Caenorhabditis elegans: one gene and its partners. The protein of the gene in region 4 interacts with the protein of the main gene of each other region in a pairwise test. Each region holds a gene or a part of one and is shown on either strand. Other genes may lie near its edges. The genes, in order: ztf-2, mgl-2, vab-7 and vab-3.

What was found.
Region 1: the proteins of vab-3 (region 4) and ztf-2 interact in a two-hybrid assay, tested with the Caenorhabditis elegans proteins (one large-scale study listed by BioGRID).
Region 2: the proteins of vab-3 (region 4) and mgl-2 interact in a two-hybrid assay, tested with the Caenorhabditis elegans proteins (one large-scale study listed by BioGRID).
Region 3: the proteins of vab-3 (region 4) and vab-7 interact in a two-hybrid assay, tested with the Caenorhabditis elegans proteins (one large-scale study listed by BioGRID).

Annotation. Positions count from the first base shown.
Region 1 is NC_003279.8:7,289,265-7,293,474, reverse strand, and holds ztf-2 (Zinc finger protein ztf-2), read right to left. Parts: upstream 2,204-4,210; coding exon 1,798-2,203; intron 1,634-1,797; coding exon 1,304-1,633; intron 1,251-1,303; coding exon 904-1,250; 3' UTR 523-903; downstream 1-522. UniProt on the Caenorhabditis elegans protein: Transcription factor. Represses gene expression, probably via binding to DNA consensus sequence 5'-[AT][CT]TTCC[AC][AG]-3' in promoter regions. May play a role in pharynx morphogenesis.
Region 2 is NC_003279.8:10,385,292-10,393,229, forward strand, and holds the start of mgl-2 (G-protein coupled receptors family 3 profile domain-containing protein), read right to left. Parts: upstream 6,098-7,938; 5' UTR 6,026-6,097; coding exon 5,912-6,025; intron 5,567-5,911; coding exon 5,412-5,566; intron 5,364-5,411; coding exon 5,186-5,363; intron 5,136-5,185; coding exon 4,964-5,135; intron 4,670-4,963; exon of another isoform or gene 4,537-4,669; intron 4,484-4,536; exon of another isoform or gene 4,335-4,483; intron 4,260-4,334; coding exon 3,812-4,259; intron 3,540-3,811; coding exon 3,369-3,539; intron 3,320-3,368; coding exon 3,185-3,319; intron 2,904-3,184; coding exon 2,717-2,903; intron 2,465-2,716; coding exon 1,952-2,464; intron 1,609-1,951; coding exon 1,352-1,608; intron 1,205-1,351; coding exon 902-1,204; intron 673-901; coding exon 569-672; intron 381-568; coding exon 280-380; intron 228-279; coding exon 15-227; intron 1-14.
Region 3 is NC_003281.10:10,918,653-10,926,380, reverse strand, and holds vab-7 (Homeobox protein vab-7), read right to left. Parts: upstream 6,038-7,728; 5' UTR 5,996-6,037; coding exon 5,954-5,995; intron 4,795-5,953; coding exon 4,656-4,794; intron 2,665-4,655; coding exon 2,507-2,664; intron 936-2,506; coding exon 745-935; intron 583-744; coding exon 369-582; 3' UTR 340-368; downstream 1-339. UniProt on the Caenorhabditis elegans protein: Transcription factor. Involved in motor neuron fate determination and maintenance, acting as a transcriptional repressor to counteract gene activation by transcription factor unc-3 in a subset of motor neurons.
Region 4 is NC_003284.9:10,498,223-10,503,013, forward strand, and holds the start of vab-3 (Paired box protein 6 homolog), read left to right. Parts: upstream 1-1,667; 5' UTR 1,668-1,883; intron 1,884-2,015; exon of another isoform or gene 2,016-2,071; intron 2,072-2,865; exon of another isoform or gene 2,866-2,972; intron 2,973-3,907; exon of another isoform or gene 3,908-4,013; intron 4,014-4,348; exon of another isoform or gene 4,349-4,489; intron 4,490-4,791.

The DNA of each region.
Region 1 (4,210 bases), on a different chromosome or scaffold from region 4:
TTGAAATGCTTTGATCGACGGGTAGAAAAACATTCAGTTTTATAAATTAGATAAAATAAGAAATTAGACGAACCAAGGAAAATCGGACGTGACAGGAACAAAGAAGGTATGTAGGCAGGCCAGATAAGAAGCAAGTTAGTGAACTGGCAGTAATGAGGTAGGAAAAATAAGCGTTTCCCAGGTCTGGTGTAGGCAGATTTTGAAATGTAAGAATTATTGTTTTCAAAATTATTTATCGAGATTTTTTGTTGTAAATCACAAATACATGTTTTGGTGTCACCAGAACGCTGCCGCTGCTGTTTTAGACCACAATAGGTGGGAGAAAGGTGGCAAACGCGACTGAATTTCGAGTATTTGTTGAATAATTGTGATATTTTTACAAAAGGTGGGGAGCAGGTGGCAAAAAGGTGGGCGGAAGGTGAGAAGACCTCAAAAGGTGGGAGAAAGGAGGCACTAAATGCCGAGCAAATACAAATCAATAATATCGCTTAAAATATGAGTTTATGCAGTGGTGATAATACTTTTTTAAACAAGCGTATATTTCCAAATATTCGTAACGATATAAATAAGAACAATCCCGAAAAAAAGAGAAATCGGTGAAAAATGTGATAGAGAAATATGGAGGGATGTGTGATAGAAACATGACTCGTATAGTAGAAACAGATAAGGAAAATAAAATTAGCAAAGAAAATATGAATTCACCAGGAAGCTGAGAGTTGAGACGAGATTCGTATGTGAGTAGATACCTAAGATTTGGGGTTTTTTTGGGGTTTGTGTGCGTGATTGGCTAAGTAGAACAGAAAATATATTGGTTCGAGTATATGAACCTGAGATATTCAAGTAAAGAAGTGATAAATTGTTTTAATTATAAATTTTGAGATTATGGATTCAAGATCTTAAGAATTACATCTCAACGTCAACCATCTCATCTTGTTGAGAAGGTGTAAGTATCGTAGTTGGGATGATTTGTGGAAAAGATGTTGGAATAGTTGGACTATTCAACAAGGAAGATTGTAGGAGAGATGCCAAGTATAATGACATTAATGGATTTGGCTGAAGGCTCAGCAGAGCTGATTGAATGTCTGGAAGGAAAGATGGAGTGACTGGAAGTGTTGGTGACAACAGAAGAGGTGATGATCCAAGTTGAGGAGTTGGTAGGGATGATGTAATAATCGATGCTTCTTCTTCAGGATCTGTCTGAATTCCGCTGTCTGATGAGGATTCGCTTCTGCACGGGGATAATGGAGATGCTGAAAAAAGGAATTTAAATCATGAAATTAAACTATTTAAAATTATGGTTTACCTTTCTCATAAGTTGGCATAACGTTGTAAATCATATCAACATGGGAGCATGGACCATTGGAATGAGCAAGTGCTCCTTGGACATCTTCAAATTTAGCGCCACATCGACAAACACATGGGGAGGTGTTGTGAAGATGGCTTACATGACTGTTCAATACAGATACTCTTTCATCTTCAAATGAGCACAATTGGCAACGATAGAACACTGTTCTCTTTTCAGAAATTATGCATCGATCAGAGTCTGAAGAACACGAAGAATCCATTGAACTGTTGGTGGCATCGAAGACTTTCGAACGGCTGTATTTGGAGACAACACGGATTCCATGAGTTTCTGAAATTATTGAGGTTGGAGAATACATTTTCAGGTATAGCAGAAGCTAATTGATTACATTTCAAAAATTGTTCTAAGCTGCCAAACTTCAAATCTGACAGAATTACAAAAGGTTTAAAGCGAATTCAAATACCTAAAGTAATAGAAAAGTAATATGAACTCACTTGCAACATGTCGAATAAGGTCAGCCTTCCACTTGCTGGTTCTGGAGCAATAACGACACTTGAATGGTCTTTCACTGGTATGAACTCTCTTATGACGAATCATCTCAGACACCCATTTTCCTTGGTAACCACAGGTAGAGCAGGTGCGTGTAGATACATCAGGATCCAATTCCATTTTTTTCATTTCAATCTCATCATCTGGTCCTTCAATTGCTTCTTGTTCACTTAGATATCTCTTTTCAAATGGTTGATCGTCGGCTTTGCGAGCAACAAGAGCATCAAGAGTGTTTGATGGATTGGCTACTTCACCACGTCGTCTTTTACGACGATGTTCTTTTTCAGGTGAGGAAAGAGTTGAGAGTAGAGTGGATACGTCAAGGGCAGTGAGCAACGATTCACAATTCATCTTAAATTTACGAAATTTAAAGAATGCAATTAAAAAGTGGAAATGTTATAGTAAGTTTAGAAATGTTATTTTTTCAGTTGTTAAGTTTGCAGATTCTAATATTGAACCGAGATCAAAAATAAGAAAGAGTAGACCACGAATGAGAAAAAGTAATGAAAAGAAGGTGTGGGAAAATTTGGAGAAAGAAAAAGTATCAATGTACTTGGAACTGGAGGAACATTCTGATATCTATTTTGTCTAGAAAGACGAGAGAATTGGAGATAAGAAGTGGAAAAAGTGAAAGTTGCTCCAAGATAAGGGAAGGGTCACCAGGAAGCAAGCGCCGATTCGGGAAGGAATGGATATGGCAAAATGCGGATGGGGCGCGCGGTACCTTTTCGCTCCTACCACAGTATGTTGACACAAGTTTTGTTGGGGGAAAAAGAGGAGGAGGCCGAAGGGTGGGAGGTCGTCGCATCAGCGAACTGTTCACTTCCGGGGCTGACTGACTTTCACAGCAACAGCAGTAGGAGGAAGAGGATACGTTTACTTTTTACAAAATATCAGCAACACACAACTCTTTCTTGCGCTCGGCCACAAGGTTTTGGTTGGACAAACAGTTCGGTCAGTGAACTCGTTTTGAGCCAAAGCGTACGTGAAGTTGGAGCATGACGTGGCCATATTGAGATCGGATGACCGTTGATGGGAGGAGAAAGAGTTTTGGGAAAGTTATTTGGTATTGGCTCACCTGCTCCCAGTTAGGCATAGTGCTGCAGAGGTACAGGCGCAAAGGCTACTGTAGGTGGATATAGGGGACGGCTAGAAAAATAGAAAAGGGACCGTGGAGATTTTCAAACCCAACTAGAGTATTCCGAGATATCTAGTGCTTACTGTAAGTGAATGCAAAAAAGAAGAGTATGATGTGTATTATGAAGGTTAATTATTGAGAGCGATCATCTTTCGAAAAAAAGTGCACTTTCCGAGCATGAAATTGCCAACTCGGATTTCTAGAGAATTTTTGAAATCCAGGGCAACAAGAACCATTCCAGAAAAGAACGTATTTGAAAAGACTGCAATAGTAATTCTAGACGTCTTGTGGGCTTTTACCAGGCACAGGTAAGTTAGCCCTAAAATGAATATGAACTTACAAAAGTAGCTAGGTGCTTTTTTCTTTTCAAATAAGTGTAAAAACTACGGTAGGCAGTTACTCAAAATATGACGTAGAGTTTAACATAAACCTTACAAATATCAACTCGGGTTTCTAGAGTACTTCAAGTATTTTTGAAATCTAGGGTAACTAGAACCAAAACATATTTGAACATAATTTCAAAGATGACCTTCTTCAACGTCTTCAATGCCTTCTTGTTCCTAATCGTCATCGTCTTCTTCTCTTTTTCAATTCAGGCACATGTTTGCTCAAGCACAGTTTGCGTAACCACCACCATCGCCGCGGCGTCTCCTGCAGCCATTCGGTTTTTTCTCGCGCCCTCAACTTCTTCGAGGAAATCCAAATAGGAACAACCTGGTACAGAATGGTCGGAAAGGACCTCAAGGCGGCCCCGCACAGTTCAAACACATGACAAGCAGTTTTTAGGAGTAAAATGGAGGAAGTAAAGGTAATAGAAGAAGCATCGGTTATAGTAACCTAGATAAAGTAAAAGTGCATTTGTGCTCATTCGCTAGTTTCTGCCAAAAAGAGCAGCACTGTCAGCTCCTCGGTTCCAGGAGGTACCAGTTGAAGCTCTTATCACTTACACTTTTGCGCCGAAAACGTGTGGGCTGGAGGAATCACTTGCTGCTGAGTGTGCAAGTTTCACGAATGGCAACAAAAGGGCAATTGATGCAAATACTTTTTTTTTCCAGATTTTCAGACAAATTGCCTCTCGTTCAAAAATTGAACAATTAAGGGAGATGGTAGTCGTTTTTTCATCAATTTTTTCATTTATTTCAGAGAGACTCTAAAGTTTGAGAATTGGCTCCGTTTCGTCTGCACTAGAATGTGAAGAACGCCTCAAAAAAATCAAAGAG
Region 2 (7,938 bases), on a different chromosome or scaffold from region 4:
AATTCAAAACAAACCTGTTCAAAGTTATCTTCTTGTGAAGGTGCAGTTGGTAGAGTCACCACTGGAATCATGGGTACCATGGGTACTAATGGTACAACTGCTTTACCAGCAACAGTTGATAACACTGTTCTCATGCTATTCTCAATTGAATCAGCCAGAAGTGCTCCTACCTCATCTTCAGATTCTTCAAGAAGTAGATTTGCAGCCGATGAGTTGATTTTTTCGTCCTAGAAATTGAAAAATTGAAACTATAAAAAAACTAAGAATAAGTGTACATACTTGATATCTTCGACAAGCATCAACAAGTTGTTGCACATCATCATCAAGACCTTGTTTCTTCCGGCCAACTATTGAGAAGCTTCGAGAGAATTTACTTGCTGCTAAAAGGATATCAAAATTTGATAGAAAAACTATTTTAAACATGATTAATGGAAAAATTGATCTCAACGTGCCTCAATTTTTTACTTATACTGAAAACTCAAAAATAACTTCATAAACTCGATAAACTGTGTGTCTTCAAACTGGCGTATCTTTAAATATATATTTTTTAAATATGTTTTGTTCTCACCTTCAGTTTGTGTTGAGACATCAGTTGAATGTGTACTTCCACGGGAAACAGGTACATGAACCGATGCTGTTCGTGTGACTCCTCCACCCATACTTGAAGATTTACTATAATTAAACATCAATTATCTAAAACTACGGAAAAATGGAAATTGACAGAGCCTCGAAATAGTCAAAAAAAACATTCACAGGAACTTCTTGAAATTTCTAAATTTTTAGACGTTTTCAAAGATGAGATCTTTGAAATGCACCCGTTCTCGAATTTAAAAAAAAATTATATTTTTGTAAAAATCTCATAGATTCAAAAATAAACACATCACTCGGAAATTGTACAAACCTTGCAGATCCACTCTGAACAGACGTTCTTGCAGTCGTCTTCGATCCAAGATGTTGTTGTTTACTTGTACTATCATAGGCAGCTTGAGAATTTCCGAAATGACATCTTATGAGCTTTGTAGTTGTATAAGATGCTCTGATATTCTTCTCAGGATGCATCAAAATTATGTATAACTTCGGAAAGAATAGCAAAGCAAGAGCCACAGATGCGGATAATGAATAGGAGAAGCTCATCACTAATGCCTTGTGAGTTGTTCCCATGTGAAGTACTAGAAATGCAATCCAGACAACTACTGTGCAGTACCTGAAATAATTAAATAAAATAGGAATTTATTAGATAAAATAACTGAAAAATGATAACATGTTCCTTTTGAAAAAATGGTAATGACTTTGCTGGCTGAGAACTAAAGACAACTACAGTTTAAATTTTGAAATTGCAAAAAAAACTTACATAGTAAATCCAATGAACTTTGCCTCGTTAAAGTTCTCCGGAAGATTTCTTGTTTTGAATGCATATAGTGTGCACAAAGTAATCAGAAAAAAGTCCCAAAAGAATGGAATTAGAAATGATTTTGTTTCAGTGTCACATTCTAATATCAACTTTCTTGGCAATGCGTACTTGGCATACGTGGCATCCGGCCAATCCCGCATCAAACCAACTCCGACGATCACACATTGAACTGCTACAAGGATCCAGGTTATCACTACCTGAAATTGGAACATTTATTTAAAGCGAGTTGACTTCTCTGAATATTTATTCCAAAAGAATGAGGGCAAAGCCTTTGGAGCATTATGAAAAAAGTTATTGAACAATTTTCAAAAACTTATCACACATGTCAGTTATTAGGAATTGAGTTTCGCATGGCACATTATTATTTCAACCTAATCAAACAATAACTTGTCAAATGAGAAATGCCTCATTCTAGATAATTTTCAAAAGTTCATACTGTTTCCAAATAAAAACATGAAGCTCGTTCCCAGATACTTTATTCGATTTTCATCATAATTTATAATATATTTTTTCAATTTCTCTAAGGTTCCAAGTTCTCACCTGAGAAAATGTAGTCAAAAACCGTGGTTTCTTTGTCAATATTCGCTTTTTACTTCCAGCTAATATCCTCGCTATTCGATTTGTCTTTGTAAGTAAAGCCGAATATACAACAGCAAATGCAATTGGTGGTATAACTCTTGTGATGAAGCATGAAGTTGTTGATGGAGTTGCAAGTAATGCAAATGATACAGCATAACACGCAACAAGACCAGATAAAATGATATATGACAGTTCTCTTGTTGTACTCTTCACAACTGGTGTTGAGTTGTGACGAAGGAATACAGCAAGAGTTGCCATACTTGTAATGATTCCAGTTACTGCTAGAACAAGGGCCAAGATATGTCCAAAAGAAGTCCATGAAACAACTTCAGGAATGATATATTCACATCCTGTTCTATTCGCATTTGGCCATGAGCCAAGAGTACAATTCATACATTGATTTGTTGTTTTATTCACATATTGGATATCCAGACAAGATTCACAAATCCAGCAACACGCCATTGTTTCTCGTTGCTGGAAAAATTTGAGTTTGAATATTTTTTGCATGCTCAAGTTTTGATTTTGTGAAATCTCTTTTCAAAATTATTTCACTTGAACATAATTTGTCCTTCTTGTTTAACTTTTTCCCAAAAAGTGAAACTGTGATGTTTAAGGCATTGAGAGATTGTATAGTGGACATTTTGTAGCAAAATACATTTGTATGTGACTTTTCAATCAGTAAAAAATTTTCTGGTCAACTTCCAAAAATTATACAAATCCACATACCCTTTGACCAATTCCACAAGGTCGACTGCAAACACTTTCTGGTAGAAGTTCAGTTTTATCGAAAAACATTGATTTAGCAGTCATATCAAGCTCTTCAACCCCATAGTCATTAATCGATTTGAATGATCCAACTTCATTGTACGGATTATCAAGATCCTTGGTTCCAATATAGTTGAGGATGTCGTACCTGAATAATTTTTTGTGTGCTTTATTCAGCTCGTAGGTGACAATTTCCGCAATTGCAGGGAGTCGATTGCCAGAAATTATAGATTACTGCAAACCCCTAGTTGGCGTCTGTCATAAACTTTGTGCTTCATGAACTTAACGATGACGTCGCTATCTCATCCAGTTCTAATTAGTTTTTTGTGCACGAAGAGAGCAAAAGTTCAAAAACATATTCACACTAATGAATTTTCAAATAATTTTAGTTAGTTTTCTAGGAATCATGCTAGATCAGTTGCTACTTACCATGCAGGTGGATCTCCATTTCTATCAAAGTATACAGGTTGTTTAAATTGATCACTATAAGTCACATTTAGCAAGTATTCGTAAAGCAATGTTCCATTTCTAGAGAGCATTTCTGTGCAGAGTGTTGAATTGTCACTGAAACATACGTTTTTTGTCGTGATCTGAATATTTCCAGAAAACTGACCGGCACCGGTCCTGATACATAGCCTTCAAGCCGAGAGCAACCACACGGATCGAATTGATTACTTGTGATAGTTTTGGATCTTCTTTGTATTGTTCATCTAAATTCTCATCACCACTACAGATTCGGATGTTTTCATTGTTTTTGTCTTCTTTTGAAACCGCGAACTGGCAACTGGAAATATTGAAAATGAATTTACATAACTGGAGACAATTTAATATTTTTAATGACAAACAGTTTCAGCGTTGTGGCCGTCCCCAGAAAAAAAAAACTGATTCTGCTGACCAGAAAACTTGCCTACCGTTTGATTCATGAACTTTCAGGGTTAGGGTTTTGTAGGCTAAATTTTTGTGATCTGAATCGAGAAGAAAAATATAAATGAGTAAAATAGGTATTTGTTTTGCATGAATTTGAACTTTGGCTTTTTTTTTAATTTAAAAACAAACTTGAACTTCTGCTGCCAAAACTCTCGAAACCATGGATTCATAGTGTTATTTTCTGGATGAAGAGCTGTGTAGTATTGTCGAAATCCTGGAATCTTTGGAGCATGAATTCGAATTGAAAATGATCCTTCAGCTTCTTCTTCTAAATCCTCAACAACATCATTTCTATCAGCCCATCCATCAGATCCAATCCATTGAAATCGTTTCATTTGCATTTTTCCATCGGCCAAATGTTTTTGAGCTTTAAAGAACATTCGCATTGAAGCTCCTTCACAGAAGCATACGACGACTTGAGGTCGAGAATTTTGAGAATCGAGTCGTGTAAGAACTTGTCGATATTCTTGTTCACTTGCCAAAGTCTTAATCTTTTCTGAATACGCTATACAGACTGATGATGATCGATGTGCAATTAGCTTTTCGAGACTTTCGAATCCTTTTTCTCCGTAGTTGCCTGAAAATTGTGTATATCAGTTTACTTTCAGGCGACTCGCTTTTTTTCTAAAATAGAAACTTCTACATTTTCCAGAAAACCCCTATTAAATTCAACTTTCAACTTTGATTCCATTCATATTTGATCCCTTTTTTCCGACCAATGTAGTCGTTGACTACTCGGATTCTTCACAAGAGATATCAACTTCAGATGCCACCAACAATTTAATTATTTTCTTTTTTGCACAAGCAGAAATCCCCTCTCCCTCTCGATTTTTGCTTGAGCCAGAAGGCTTTTCCTTGTGTCATCAGATGGCAAAAACGAGATAGACACAAATTCGATTCCACTTGAAGCACCCGCAGGGCATGAGAATTGAGTGAGAAAAAAGAAGAGGAGTTAACAGAAAATGGAGATATGGAAAAGTGAGGGTGTATTCTATGATTTACTTTTTTTAATAATAGGAAAGGCCGAAATGATTCATTGTAAAACTTGTAAAACGTTTGACAGATTTTTTCGAAAAAATAGACGCTACTCATGTAATTTCAGGAGCACTTTGAAGCATTTAAATTTCGATCTCATAGTCAGTCAAAAATATTTCAAAAATTTCAAAAATTCTCTGTGCTCCAAAGCATCAAATTTTTTGTAAATCCTATTTTGAAGATTCTTTTCCAAATGACAGTGCAATTTCAATTCAAATGTATATGCCAGACAATCCGGAGATTTACCTGCTGAATATAAAACTGCAACATATGTCCAGTTATAATGATGTAGTAATCGATTGATTGCTTGTGCTTGAAAAACATCAGATGGCACAACACGAAGAAAATAACCGAATTGTTCTTTGTCGGATAAGTCTGGAGTGGTGGCGGAGTATCCGACTTGAGGTATTCGAAAAACCTGTAATTTGTAGTTTTTGGGTATCTCTAACGGGGTTTCCAAATATATACCTGTAGCAAATTCTGTACTGCAATAGTAGAAGAACTCTTTCCAGGACCAATAACCGCCACCACAGGAACACTTTTCTTGTTACAACCAGGTGTTTGACAACATGAACATTGTGCAACTCCTTCTCGTAAAAATGCTATTGTCTGTTCCATTGCTATTCGTTCTGTCCAACATGAATCTCTGAAAAGTTCCATATTGTTTTGAAACCTGATTTTTAATATCAAAAACCGTATAGATAAGCCTAATTTGAATGGCAATTCCTCGTTGAGCTGTTTCACTGTGAGCATTGCAATTTCTGATCTTTGAATTCCATACTGTTCCCATATTTCGCCACAGCTCTCAGATCCGGCGATTTGGCGATGGATTGGAAAGAGTGCGCCGATCTAAAAGTAAACTTGCAGTTTTTTTTTAGAATGGACGATTTATTGAATATCACTAGATTTAGAGGCAAAACTTTTCAAAAAAATTTTTTTTTGGAATTTACATCTGGAGTAGAATCAGGTAAAATCCTCAGGGTGCTATAATATTTTAAGTAATAAAAAAGAATGTCAACAGTTGAAAAATCAGCATTAAAAAACACAAGCACATATTTTTGTAACTGATAGCAAAATATAATTTTCGGAATATCTGCTAAAGGTTTCAATTCCGAATTTCGGGATTTAGCGCAAACTAGAAAAGCTAATTCGAATTTCAAATTACTTTAGATGAATTAATCGTGAATATCCTACCTGTATCTCTCCATGAATCTCTGCCACAAGCATTCGTGCCGACTGTTGGACCGTCGTCTTTGCAACGACATCGACAACGCGAAGCATGAGAAGTGTGACATGACTGTAGAGCATTTCGCCGCGTTTTTGCTCTTTTCTACACACATGCACTCTTCTCTGATACCTACCACCTCGCCTTCATTTCTACTACAAAAAATGAATGAAAAAGATGGTTAAAAGAATAAAAGAAAGTGAACGGATGATCTTGAAAAATAAGAGAAAAAAGGAAGAAAAACGAAGAAAAAATGTATAAGAGATCCTTCCGCGTTGAGAAGTTTTTTCGTCTCATTGTGAATGACGAAGTGAGGGGAGCAAGAAAGAGAAAATGGATAAACAAGGATATGAGCATATTTATGAGATTTCAGATATATATGTGTATGTATACCTACAAATATTATAAACAGGTTTTATATAATAAAATTTGAAATTAAAAATGGCACAAAAACATGTTATTGTTTGATTTAAAAAATTGTCGATTCACATTTTTTCTACACAAAATTTACAAATTTCCTTTCCTCAAAAATGTAGAACAATATTTTATCTTTCTGATAAGTACCTCAAATTTAATTTTAAACTTTAAAAAAATTGAAAATAAGTTGTACAACTATTCCAAGAAGGGAAATTAGTATATTTTCCGGAAAAATATGACAAAAATATCTGCTGTCACTTGAATAAACTTCTAAATGCGATTGTCGTTTGTAAGATATTAACAGTTAAGTTCCAAAAACTCTAGTGAAAACTTGCCTACGTGCCTGCCTGCCTGCCTACCGTCTATTTTTTGACTTCTGGGCTGAACTCAGGTTTTAAGCGTTTGCACAGTGCAGATTTCAATTCTTTTACAAAATGCTCAATAATATGTACTTTGGAAGTAGGCACACCTATAGACATAAGGCAGGCGTAGGTCACCTGCAAAGCACATACAATACTTTTTTCAATTGCAAGAGAATGTAAACCCATAAAACATCAACTCTCCATACTTACTTCACTTAACTTTGCGACGTCACAACTTCAGAATAATATAAGAAATCCTTCAGAATTTTGAATGAAATGAGTGTGACAACTTGTATTCAACTGCATACTTTTAGAAAGAGAGCAAAAATGTGTCTCACAAATCAAAAAAATATATATTTAGTTGGGAAAGTTTAGGTTTATAACCAAGCGTTTTTTGAGAAAGAAACCAAAATAAGATATGAAGTATGCATACTTCTTATCAAAATGATAACATACACTTTTTCGCATCAAATTGTTTGGCGGGAAAGCAATGCGAGTCTTTAAAAATTGAAGTGGGAATGATAATACTTTGAGCTTTAGGTTTAGTTCAAAAGTTTTCTTGGGAAAATTTTATGCCAATCAGGAAAAAATGGATTTTTTTAATTACAGGCACGAAAATGCCTATTTGTGTGCCTACAAAGTAAATTTCCTGCAAGACGACCAATGTCTACTGATCACTACGACTTGTATAAATTATTCACGGCAAAATAGGCGTAGGTTATCTTTAAGGCAGGCAGGTAGGCATCTTGTAAAAACCTGCTTCTGGCAGAAAAAAACCAGATATACTATAAAAACTGTCAGCATCTGTGATTGTGACATGCTCTACTATTAAATGATAAATTGATGAAGGATATCGAAGAATCGAACATCTCTTCATCATCTTATATGAAAACATTTGGTTAGGGAGCTGAATGGCTGATTTTTGTGTTGTTGACCCCCATATTTGATAACAAAATATAATCGAAAACTAAGAGGGTCCTAGAGAAATAAAATAAAAACATTGGGACATCACACTTGTCGTGGGATCTGTTTTCTCCACCCCTTCTGCTACATCTAGTTTTCTTCCATACATTTTCAATTATTAGTCGCTTTTTTTGCTCTTTTTCTCTCTCTTCTTTTTGCTCCTTCTAGACAAGAATACAGAAATAAGAAGGAGATAGAAGGTGAGGCGACAAGTAAAAAGAAAAAGAAAGTAAAGAAAATGAGAGGTGGGTGGG
Region 3 (7,728 bases), on a different chromosome or scaffold from region 4:
ATTGTTTGTAAAATGAGACAAAAAAGCGAAGAAAATACAAATTTTGTGGAAATTTAACAAAAAAAAATTGGCAGATAATAGGCAAAAATTGAGGTTTTTAGGCCACGAAAAGTGTTTTTGGCTATTGAAAAAGCCTAATTTTAGTCAGAGCGATTTCTAGGCCAGCTATGTAATTTTCAGGTCATCTTAGAATTTTCTAGGCCACTTTAGAATCTCCTAGGCCACCGTTGAGTTTTCTTGACCACTTTAGAAATTTCTAGGTCGCTTTAGAATTTCCTAGGCCACCATGAACATTTTTTAGGCCACCTGGCTAATTTTGTCCATTTTTCCCCTTTTTTTGCCGATTTTTTTTTCCAAAAAATAGTGAATTAATCTGTAGAATAAGGCGAGGGAGAACTTGAGGAAGGGCTATTTGAAAAATTTACAGGTTTTGATTCATCATCATCACTTGAGGTATTCTTCGATTTTGAGGAATCGTCTGAATGTGGAGAAGATGGAGATTTTGTTGAATTTTGTGATAAAAATGATGGAAAACCTAATGGTGGAAGGAATGGAAGAGATCCAGCTGCTGATGGAGATGTGCTGAAAAATATTTGGAAAAATTTGAAAAAAAAACCTTAAATAATTTATTTAGCTAAAATTTTTTCACAATTTTATTTTGGTTTTTACGAAAAAAAAAGTTCCGATTCCAAACATTTCCAAAAATTGTGAAGAAACTTCAATATTGCCAATCTTCCAACTCACCTTGATCCATTATTCCCATAAGCTCCATTTCCGGGACCCGTGGCTCCGAATTGTGAGGCGGCAGCTGTTTTCATCCACATTTCATATGCAAATGGGTTTAACATGTAGGCAGCCATTTGTGGAGGAAAGGGCCACGCGAGACCACCGACTCGTTGCCGTTTATCTTTCATTCGACGATTTTGGAACCATACCTGCAAGAAATATTTCAGAAAATTCGACTAAAATCGAGAGTCACTTGCGAGTAATGGCCACTTGGCCACTTTCCACAAGTTTATTTGAAGTAGGGCAAATGAGAGTTTTCTAGGCCATCAGTAAGTTTACTAGGCTACCTAAAAATTTTTTGGAAAGTTCACAAAAATTCAAAATTTTGAGTCATGTCGGAAATGCATCGAGAAAAATTCCTGGGTTATGTCAAAGGTTCCTCGACCACCGTTTAATTTTCTAGTTCATAAATTATAGTTCCTAGGCCACCAGAAAATTTCCTAGGCCATCTGAACAATTTCTAAGACATCTGGAGATTTTCTGAGTTTTTAAAGTTTCCTGGATAATCTTAGGAAGTTTTAGATTATTTTGAAAAACGCTAGGTCATCTCAGAAAATTCTAGGCCAACAATTTTATTTCTAGGACACTGGAAAAAACTAGGCCATGTAATTTTCTAGGATTTCCTTTCATCTCTTCCCCCGCCCAGAATAAGCCTAACCCTAAGCCTAATAACCCTAAATAGCGTCAGTGGGGGAGCGTTAGCTCCAAGTCTAAGACTAAGGCTGAGCCTAAGCCTAAGCCTTAGACTAAGACTAAGCCTAAGCCTTAGCCTAAGCCTAAGCCTAAGTCTAAACCTAAGCCTAAGCCTAAGCCCAAGCCTAAGCCGAAGCCTAACTCATAAATTTCTAACCCTTCTCCTTCTATACTAATTCCCCCGAAAATCATATTGTAACTAGTTGAAGAGGCTACGAAGTTCTAAAAGTATGCCAGTGGGAATAAAAGGCGCGATACTCCGAAATCACTCATAGGCCCTCCGTTTTCTCCTGTCCTCTCAGCTTTTTCATTTTTCAAGGGAGATTGATATGCAGAAGAAGCAGCGGGTCCCGCGTGTATGTCATGGGAAATGATTTGGATTTGACGATGACGGCGGCAGGGGGACGGGGGTACGGTAGCCTATTATGATGCGGAAATCTGCTTCTAACTTTGTCAGTTTTGTAGCTATAAAAATGTTTTTAACTGATAAAATGTAGAAAATTGAATTTTGAATAATTTGGTAGTTGATAATTTTTTGATAGCTATGATATTTTCAGAGATACGAACGTCCAAAATGTGTTCAAACATGTGAGTGGCCTAGAATTCTCAATTGTGCTCTAGAAAGCTTAACGTAGTCTTAGAATTTTAATAGTGGCCTAGAATCCTTACTGATGACCTAGAAAACTTAGTTCTAGTTTTAAAGCTTCAGCCGTGGCCTAGAATCTTCAGTGGTAGCCTAGAATTCTCAATAGTTGTCTAGAATCCTTAGCGATGGCTTTTTGATGATCTAGAAATTTTAAAATTGGCCTACAATCAACTCTGATTACAAAGAATCCTCAGTGATGGCCTAAAGAGATCGTGGTAGCCTGGAATTCTTAGTGGTGGCCTAGACTTGTCAGTAATAGCTAAAACCGTCTGTAGTGACTTGGTCTGAAATATTATAGGTCGCCCAAAGAGCTATGATGTAGCCTAGAGCCATTTAATACTCTAGGAATTTTCATCCAATTTTTCTCTATTTTCAACTTACCTTAATTGTACCTTCTGGAAGATTCAACTCTGCCGCCAACTCGCCACGTGTCTTCCTGCTAACATAGTTTTCCTTTGCGAATTCCCTCTCAAGCCTCCCAATCTGTTCTCGTGAAAAAGCCGTTCGATACCTCCGCATTTGACCGTCGTCTCGGTTATCTGAAATTATTATAAATCAGCATTTCATCAACAGCTTCCCGACGACAAAAACACGGAGCAAATTATGTTTTTCGTCATACAGAATTAAATAATTAAAAGTGCTTTAAAATTCATCAATAAACGGCACAAATTGACTCTTCTTGTTTTTCATTATTAGCATCCCGGCGATGCGGAATTAATACATGCATTTCTTGATGAAAAACATAATTTCCACCCATTATCCTAGTGAGAGGGATTATGAGAGGAGATGGATGGCCGAGTTTTGGAATTCTAGGCCATGAGAAGGTGAAGGAGTATACTTTTGTGGATCGCTCATATGACTGGAGTATCCAGGTGATTCTAGGTTATGGATAGGGTGTTGTGGATCCCTCGAAGGAATATGGCCCATTCAAAAGGTTCTAGACCGTTAGGGAAGACTGTTGTTAACCCTTCAGATTTTGAGGGGAAGGAGGGGTTTGTGAATTCTAGGCCATGTGTAAGGAAGGGTGATCTGGACAGTTCTAAAAAGTGGTGGCAGAATTAGAAGTTTCTAGGTGACCAGGTCAAGCTTACAATATGCCGATCTAAAGGAAAATGGCTCAGATTGAGCTTTCTTGGTCATGTGGAACTAAGAGTGTTGTGGACACCATAACGGAACTTGGCCGGGTTTGAGAATTCTATGCTATTAGTATATGATGGTGCTTTGGGCCCTATAGATGTAGTTAGATTAGGTTGATTAGGCAAAGCAGAAACTCCCGGCTTCCTATACTTATCAGCGGTATAGTTGTCTCCTGACCAAAAGACTAGCTAGTCTAAAAGCCCACATGACATAAGCCTGGCCGAGCTTGCAATCCCTAGGCCAGATGTACCCTTCCCACTTTCACCCGTGTACCTGCCCGGCCGGAACATTGTGTCCTAATTAAATAATTGGTTCACTCCCCTTTTTACGACTAAGGGTGTCTATGAACTGATTCGACACGCAACACCAATTACATGACACATGGCAACATTAGGGCGATTGACTTCGGGGGAGAGGGGGAAGAGGTTAAGCACATCAGAGCATGTTTCCCAGTGTGTCTATCAGTGATCATATAACCCATTCGCAACACTAACATAGATAATTGACCACTAAACGACGCGTCTACAGTACCCCGAGAGGGGGGGGGGGGCAGGTGTAAAACAAAAAGAGAGAACATTTACGATATAATAGCCGACACCAAACAATCCTCATTCACACTCAGTGATTGTGTCGAAACCGCAACATTTACACATCGTTTATGATGACAGGGAGCTGCGTGGCCTAGGAAAAAGTCTGGCCTGGAAAGCAAAAATTCGGCCACGCCATGTTCTAGGAGATATGAAGCCTATTGAAATTGTATTTTCTAGGCCACAAAGAGAACTTTCAGGGAGGAGCACATGGAACTATATTAGCCCTTTGAAAGTTCATGGCCGTGGTTGAGTTTTCTAGGCCATCAAGAAAAGGGAAGCTAGTACAGCTTTGTTGAAAAAGCATTGGCGGGGATTTCAAAAGATCTCACTCAGTAAAAGTTGTGACGGGAAAATTCAAATTTTCAGAGTAGAAACTTTGGCGGAGAAATTTTTGGCGGGGAATTTGAATTTAAAAAAAACCAAACTGTAAAAACTATCAAAGTTAGAATGTGGAAATTTGTTTATACTTTTGGCCTAAAAAAGGCAACCTCAGTCACTTCTCGGAGGTAACTGTAATCTTTCACGCGTTGGTTCTAGCCCGTGGCCTAGAAAAAACTCGGCCACTGCCTACCCGCTCCACTACTCCCACGTGTCATAATAGGTGCTCATTGTCCATTTGCTCGTGTCAACCTCATCCATCCGCTCACCCCCCTCCACCTCAATCAATCTCCCTCAATTTGTCACCCCCACCCAAATACGGGACTAAATTAGTGTTCAGCGAGGAGATGAAGCTAGGGGAAGAAGTATTCTTGAATAATTATGTCCCTTCTCATCTCGGGCACACACACACCCATTTTTCTTACCATACGGATGATGACGTCCGGCGGCTGCTGCTGCTGCCGCTGCGGCCACCACACCCATCGGGTCATGATGCTGCTGCTCAAATGGAGGGGAAAATGAGGAAGCTCGAGATGCGGCGACCATCTCCACAAGTGATGGGACCTGGAAATGAGAATTCGAATTACGAGATGTTTTATGTGTTCGGATGGGGGGGGGGGGTGTGTCCTAGGTGATGGGGCTAAAGTAGATTTTATGCTCAACGTGGCCTAGGGACCCAAAACTAGGCCATAACAGTTTTGGGGTGTCAGGGAGGCTTTACTTAGAAACTAAGAGTTGCATCATCCTGGAGCTGTCCGGGGGTCTTCAGAGTTCGGCTAAAAGACTTTAGGGTGTCGAAAAAGTTTCAATGATATATTTTTTCAAATTTTTCTAGATTAAAAGAGGTAAAAACAACTTTTTTTATGTAAACAGTTTTTGATCTGAAAATAAAATCGACATTGTTTTACTAGACATAATTATTTTTCAACTACAATTGGAATTAATTTGAATACTAGAAATAACTGAAGTTTGGCTGTCAAAATAGATAATTTTCGGTAATTTCAACTTTTCAAAAAACGATTTTAATTTTTTTTTCTGTATTTCTTAAATCAAAATTTCAAAGTATTAATAAAAAAGAAAATAGTTTAAAGAATAATTTAAAAACTTCTAGCAAAACAGATTTTAAAAAATTAGAATTTAAATGTTTCAATAATTCAAATAACTATGCAACTATGCATTATAGCTGAGATTATGCAATATGACACTTTTTGATTATGCAACCTAATTAAATTGTCCATAACTCTGCAACTAATGCAGTTATCAAAAAGTTGACAACTAACAAATTATAGCTTAAAACATAATGAACAAATTGTTTGTTGAAAATTTTTTGCTTGCATTATTACAAACCAAGTTATAACCACTTTTAAACACTTTAAAAAAATTATCTTTTAAGCTTCAAACGCCCGATAATCTTGAAAATTGTGAAACTGAATGAAACTTTTACAGTTATCAAATAAAATTTTAGCAACATAAATCTTCTAAACTTTTATGATTAGATTAATAATTTTTCATTAAATTTTATTGCATGAAATTATATAATTTTTTATTTCTACCTATTACAGTTATCAAAAAAGTTGAAAAAATCCCTAAAAAACTACAAAAATTTAGAAACTTTAATTTTAATGGATCTTTGACAACAAGAAGTTTACAGACATTAAATAACAGTTCTACAAAAGTAAAAAACATGGTTCTCAAAACAAAATACAAAACAAAAAAATCTCACCTTATTAACCCCAATAAGGGACTCAATATCAAATGATTGCATGCTAATTTTTAAAATTTTTGATAGTTTTTTTTTCAAATAAAAGAACTTGAGTACTAAAACTCAAAGATAAAGGAAACAATAGAATAAGGCGCTGGGCGGGGCTCAACCTCTCGGTGACTACGGTGGATTTGGCCACGCCCCACGCTCAGATGAGAAGGGCGGCCAATAGAAGAGGGGAAGGAGTGCTGGAATAGAAAGAGACTTTAGATAATAATCTTTTTCCATGACGTTTGAAATTTAAAATACGGCAGATTTGGCATTTTTTTGGAAATTTAATATTAAGAGAAAATGTATTGCTTTTCAAAAACATCAGGTCATTTTTTTTTTCAAGTAAAACTTCAAAAAACCAATTAGTGGCCGAATTTTTGAGTTTTCCAGGCCACGTAACCAAGTAAAGGTTCTAGGGCCCTTACAATGAAGAATATTACACAATGATTAAAATTATTTTGCAGACAGTCTAATTTTTTTTCTAGACCATGTTTCCTAATACCCACGAGGTACCTGCGTGAAAGTTCCCCAATAACGGTTCTCAAAAAACTTCAGTATTCTAGGCCACGTGATCAAGCTAAAGTTCCCGGCCGTTACGATGAAATTCAAAATGAAAATTTTCGAAAATTTCACGGAGGTGGCCGAGGGTTCAAATTTTTTAGGCCACAAAGCAACTGGAGCCCCTTAGCTCATTCAATGTTTCATATTAATATACAAATTATTTTCTCTTTTACGGTGGCCTAATTTTGATTTTTCTAGGCCATGTGCTTAGCTAGGTGAAACGGATGAAAAAACTTATGTAAGTATTTTCAACATAAAAATTCAACATTCAAATTGACAGGTGGCCTAACTTGAATTTTCTAGGCCACTTTTGCCGAGCTCGGCAAATTCGGCAAATCTCTTTTTTCAATATTTGCCGAGCACGGCAAATTCGGCAAATTCGGCAAATTCGCCGTGCTTAACAAACTCGGAAAAATTTGATATTTTTTTATATTTTTTGGAGCACCAAAACTACTGAATTCTTAACACACATCTGGTTTCTGAATAAGTTCCGCGTAGAATGTCTGTTTAAGCATCAAAATAGCTCAATTTTGTATCATTTTACTAAATTTTTGGCTAAAAAATCAATAGTTTTAGTCAAAATTGTACTGTCAAATTTTTGACGTGTGCGGCAAATTTCGAAATTTGCCGAGCTTGGCAAATTCGGCAAATCTACTTTTTTGAAATTTGCCGAGCTCGGCAAACGGCAAATTCGGCAAATTTGCCGCACACCCCTGGTATGTATGATCTCACCGTTCTAATAGAAATTCAATTTTGCGAAATCAGAGTTTTGAAGTTTCTTGGGATTCCCATAACCTTTTTTTCAAAACTTTAAAAGCCATCTACACAATGGCCTAGTTTTTCTTAATTAGGCCACAAAGTCAGATGGAAACAAAAAAGTGTTCCTCCCCATCAAAAAGTGATGAAAGCCTCATCAAAAGTCATTAAGTGACATGACTAAGCAGCTCTTTTATTGTCATTGCATGTATCTCCCCTAAATGTTGCATCGGGAGAGAGAGAATGAATCATTCATCAGGCATTCCGCTCCCCCTTCTCTCTATTTCATTACTTTTTGGTATTGATACACTTGAATACATGTGGAAGACAATACAAAATGGTTTAATGTTTACTCTATTTGTAGGGCATGTCCCTTCAAAAGTTGAGTATAGGCAGTGTGCCTGAGAACACTGGAACTTCCGAACCAG
Region 4 (4,791 bases):
CAATTTTGAAAATTCAGAAAAATAGTTTTGACATCCTCTACTACCTTTTTTTCTCATTTTATCTTTAAAAAATTAATTCAGGGCGATCATTCCCGCCAAATACGGACATGAATCCCATTTGGTTACCAAAAAAGTGCGGCGGCTGTCGTTGAAAATAAAAAAATCCAAAAAGTGGGAAAACGACATCTTCTGTTCACTCATGCGTACAGAATCTCCAAAAACATTTCGCCGTATTCATTTTTGGCGTGATGTACCACATATGACTTGGTCCAGATAAAGGTACTGGTGTAAATTTGTCTGTTGTGTAATCGGCATTTGACGCTAGCTTCTTGCCCAAGTTTGGCAAAAAATTTCAACTTGAATCACAACACGATAAGCTTGGTTTGGACTGTGTTTAAGTTTACGCCAAGTTTGATCCAAATAACAGTTTTTAAATAATATTTTTTTTAATTTTTGGGAAAAACGCAGGTAACGCCAAATGCCAAGTATAATTATTTTTAGACAACCGTCTAAAATTTGGAAAATATATTTTTAATACAAAAAATCTTACTCCGAGATTGATAAATGTGGAAATTTTGTAAACTACGATAAAAAATGCAAATTATTCTTAGTGTGTCAATAAAATTTTTCTATTTACTTTTCACAGTCCCAGTACTTGTTTCCTGCCAGATTTTCTCAAATAGGACTGACACCTGAAGCGGAATAATTTGCTATTTGACTTCCGAGCCCTCGAATTCTGGCGGGCGGTCCAACAAGAAGAACCCTCAATATTCCGTTAGTTATTTGTCGTCTCTGAAGACTTTATTGTCGGATGCAGCGATACCGTAGTCCGAAGAAAAGAATAGAAGAAACTGACAATGAATGGAGAAGTGGAGTAAAGCCAGCTACAAGCAGGGCAGAAAATATAAATGAATAAGTAAAGAAATCAGTTACAGAAAAGTGACATTAAATTTTTTCCACGTATCAAATTATGAAAATTATTCATAGCGAGGTTTTTTAAATGTTTAATTTGCAGTTACACTGCTTGAATCCGAATATCGATGCGGTTGCATTAATATTTATGTATAAGGAATCATCAAAAATAAAAGCAGTAGCTGATTAAAACTTATTTTTAAATCAGATATGTGGTGCATCTCCTTTTCAGAAACCAAGTAGTTTTGTTCGATCTGTTAAATTCTGTTAATCACAATGGTTCAGAATGTCTGTAAACATGCTTAGAAAACTAATGAGGTCGGTGGAGCAGAAAGTCTGTGAAAACTTCTAATTGGAATCAGGTGCTGGCAGTGAAATCACAAAATATCTTGGTCTGTACACCGGGCAAGAGCATGCCTACACCCCGCGAGTTTGGCATGGCTAATCCCTTGTTTGACAGATGTTCAGGGGGAAGGAGCTACCACTGAATAGTTTCCACGTGAGTAGAAATTGATTCATGTTCATAACATTGATGGCAATGTATTCGAGAAACAATGCCCATCTGCCACAAGTTGCAAAAGGTAGATTGTGAATAAAGCTGCGCATAATCCATAGAGAATATGAATGAAAACTCCGCCCATTTCAAAGAAGACGATTGGCCCGAGAATAGAAGCAAAAAGTCAGCGGTGTCCTAGGTGAGACAACGGAGAAAACGTGTCCGGGCGCGGCTCTTTTCAATTGTGGACCGAGAGGGAGAGACGTCGACGTCTTCTTTTTATGTCACACTATATCGTTGAAATAGTTTCGCGCTTTTTTGTTCTGTCCCCCGAAAGTTTGTTGGACAGTTAGATACTGAGGATCTCTTATTCTAACACTTCCAATATCTACACTTACACTAAATTTTACGCTACACAACACCAAAATCCGCGAGTATTCAAATAGTGACGGTCGAGTTGACAAAAGTGAACGTGGTGAGTTAAACTCTTGTTGGGTAATGAGTTAGCAGAAAATCAATAAGATGGCGAGCACTTTCAGATGGGCGTGCTAATGAGGTGGGCATGGGCTAGAAGTAAGAACTACCCTTCTTCGTCGGCATATATTTTCTCATTTCAGTCTGTTGCCTTTCTGCTGATTATCATTAGACTTTCTTGTTGAGTAGATAAATTTTGATGCCTCATTGACAATCATAAATAATAGAGAAACAATCGATATTGTCATAATGATAACAAACTAAGTAGGAATAATGTAGAACTGGTTATATTTTGAATAATTTCAAAACTCTTTGGTCTTTAGGCTAAATATAGAAACCGAGTCCTTCTCGAAACATTGATGTCGTGGGCTGCTATCATGTGTCTCCTATGACTTCAAACTTTTCTGAAATTACGTTACCTAATTTTTTTGAGCTTTCATGTTGTATCACAAAAATTTTTCATTCTGCTATAATTTTTCACAGATAATTGTTTGGTTCTAAATTCTGGGCAAAGTTTCAGAATATATTTTGAACTTTAGAACTGAATTCTTGAGCATTTCTGATTTAAAAAATCTTTTTGAACTTTTGCTACAACTTCTTTTCTCTACCATAAAATGTTTTCAATCTTGTTCGATGCTTCTACAAAAACTCCAACATCAGGAGCCATGCTTTCTCCTCCCACTTATGTTATTCATTGTGTATGTACATCCGCATGTGTCCATCATTGACTCCAAATTCCATTAGCCATCTACCGTATCTGGATTTCCGGTGTGTGACGCCGACTCCATGGCCAACACAGAATCATCGTAATTCTCCCCGCAATCTACATATCGCTACTCCAATTTTCGAATTTTGCCCCGTGTTGCAATTCCAATGCATTCAATCAAATTTAAAAGTTTTGATGATTTGTCTACTCATTTTTCCCACCCGTTCCGTTTTCTCCATGTTCAACATTTTTGTCGCCACCACCATCACTGAGAGGGGTTTTTGTAATTGGCTTGAATTGACACCCATTAACCGGCACACCCGCTGTTTGGAAGATGTCATAACGAAAACGTCGTTTGATGGAGGTCTTTGTCCGCGCCTTGTTTCCCTGTCCCTATAGTTGAAGGTGTTCGCCATCAGGCACCACTACTTTTTTGGCGCCCCTCTCTTTTTCTCTCTCGTCAGTGTCAAACGAGTAGTTGAAAATTGTGCTATTCCAAATTACATGGAGCCCCACTCCTCTGACCCGAAAGCCTTTCCATCAAATTTCGTTTTAGTAGATCTTTTTAACTTGTCATTATGCTCCTTTGGATAAACGATTTGGCTCACAGGCAAAGCATTTTCAACTGTGGGGACATTCCGGAAACACTTAGCCAATTGATAATGACAGTCCATCGATGAGTTATAAGATATGTTATCAGATGTACAAATCTGACACCCATACAACAGTCCTCACCTCGCTCTCGTCGTCATTCAGTTGCCAAAATCGTCATGCCTACTTCCAATTATGCAACTTTATCTTACGGGAAAATCTAATAACTTTTGCATTTCAGCTATGGCACACATGTTCAAGACATATTTTTAAAAAGTGAAAAGGTTGTCGGGAATATATAAAGATAAGGTATTGAAACTTTGGAAGCCCACGTTGAGACACTGTAAATAAACATTCACATTCACAATTTTTATCGTAGTCACTAATGTCTTGTTCCTTTAAAAAACATTTTCAATTTGCGGATTACAGAGGAACTAACTTCAAAAATTAAAAAAAAATCATTGAAAACGTTTTCTAGAATTACTTTTATTGAGTTAGAAAAGTAGAATCATGCGCAAAGTTTTTAAATTGATGTGCAAGAAAAAATTATCTTTAAGCCTAAAAAGCAAAATCCAATTTACGACACTTCCAAACGACAGTAAAAATTTTAAAAATTCAAAACTTCTCTTTTTATTTTTATCCGCAATCTTTGAATCACCAAGACCACTATTATGAGCAACTTCAAACAAAAAAGTTTATGAGTTCAGATGTAGTTCGAGATACTGAGTCATGAGCCTTCTCCTTTTCGTTCTCAAGATTTTGATCTCCTCAAACCGAGCTGGGTCCATTTCTACAGCATTGTTCTATTCTTTTGTCAAATTGGCTTTTTTAACCCTTTCTTACCTGCCGAGGCCTTCTTTGTTACCTTCCGATCACCACATCTCGACGGTCCTCCCCTCTTTATCTTACTTGCTGCTAATTACGTGTTCTCGTCAGTCGGCTCCAGGCCCGGATTAACTTTGACTACAAAACATATGTCGTTTGTGTTGTCTCGCTGCTGCATCAATTCTGGGTCAATAATTTGTGATTAGCTACCACCTCCGGTCTAATTAAGGGCTCCACAGGTTGAGGCAGCTCACCTTCTGTTGTTCTTGTTTGGTAATACCAAAGCATCTATGTAGTTAGACTTTTGTAAAAGATTATGAATCAGTGAATCAGTACTTGCAGACAACTGAAAAAGAGTACATGCTTACTTTGACGTTAATGGAACTTCTAGAAGTATCAGATAATGTATTAGAAAATAGGTACCTGATTATCATATGGGCCAGTGACTCGGAGACGAGTGATAAAGTATCACATGTAACTGAGCATGTAGTACATGTACCCTAGAAATCCCACCTTCCATCTCACCTTTTTCGGGTCTTACTTCTGTTATTCTTTTTTAGTTTCCATAATTCACTCAAAACCGCTCATTACCATTACCACATTACTACTTCTCCGCTATATGCATTTGATATTAGACACCAACTATTGTGACCGGTGTCTTCAGTCTTTTCCCGCAATGGAGTAGGTGACTGTCATTATTGTAATTTTGTGGATTGGGGATGTATATAGGTCCATTTACTAATTAACGCACAAAAATTGTTATGGATGCGCCTCGGGTAGCTGTGTC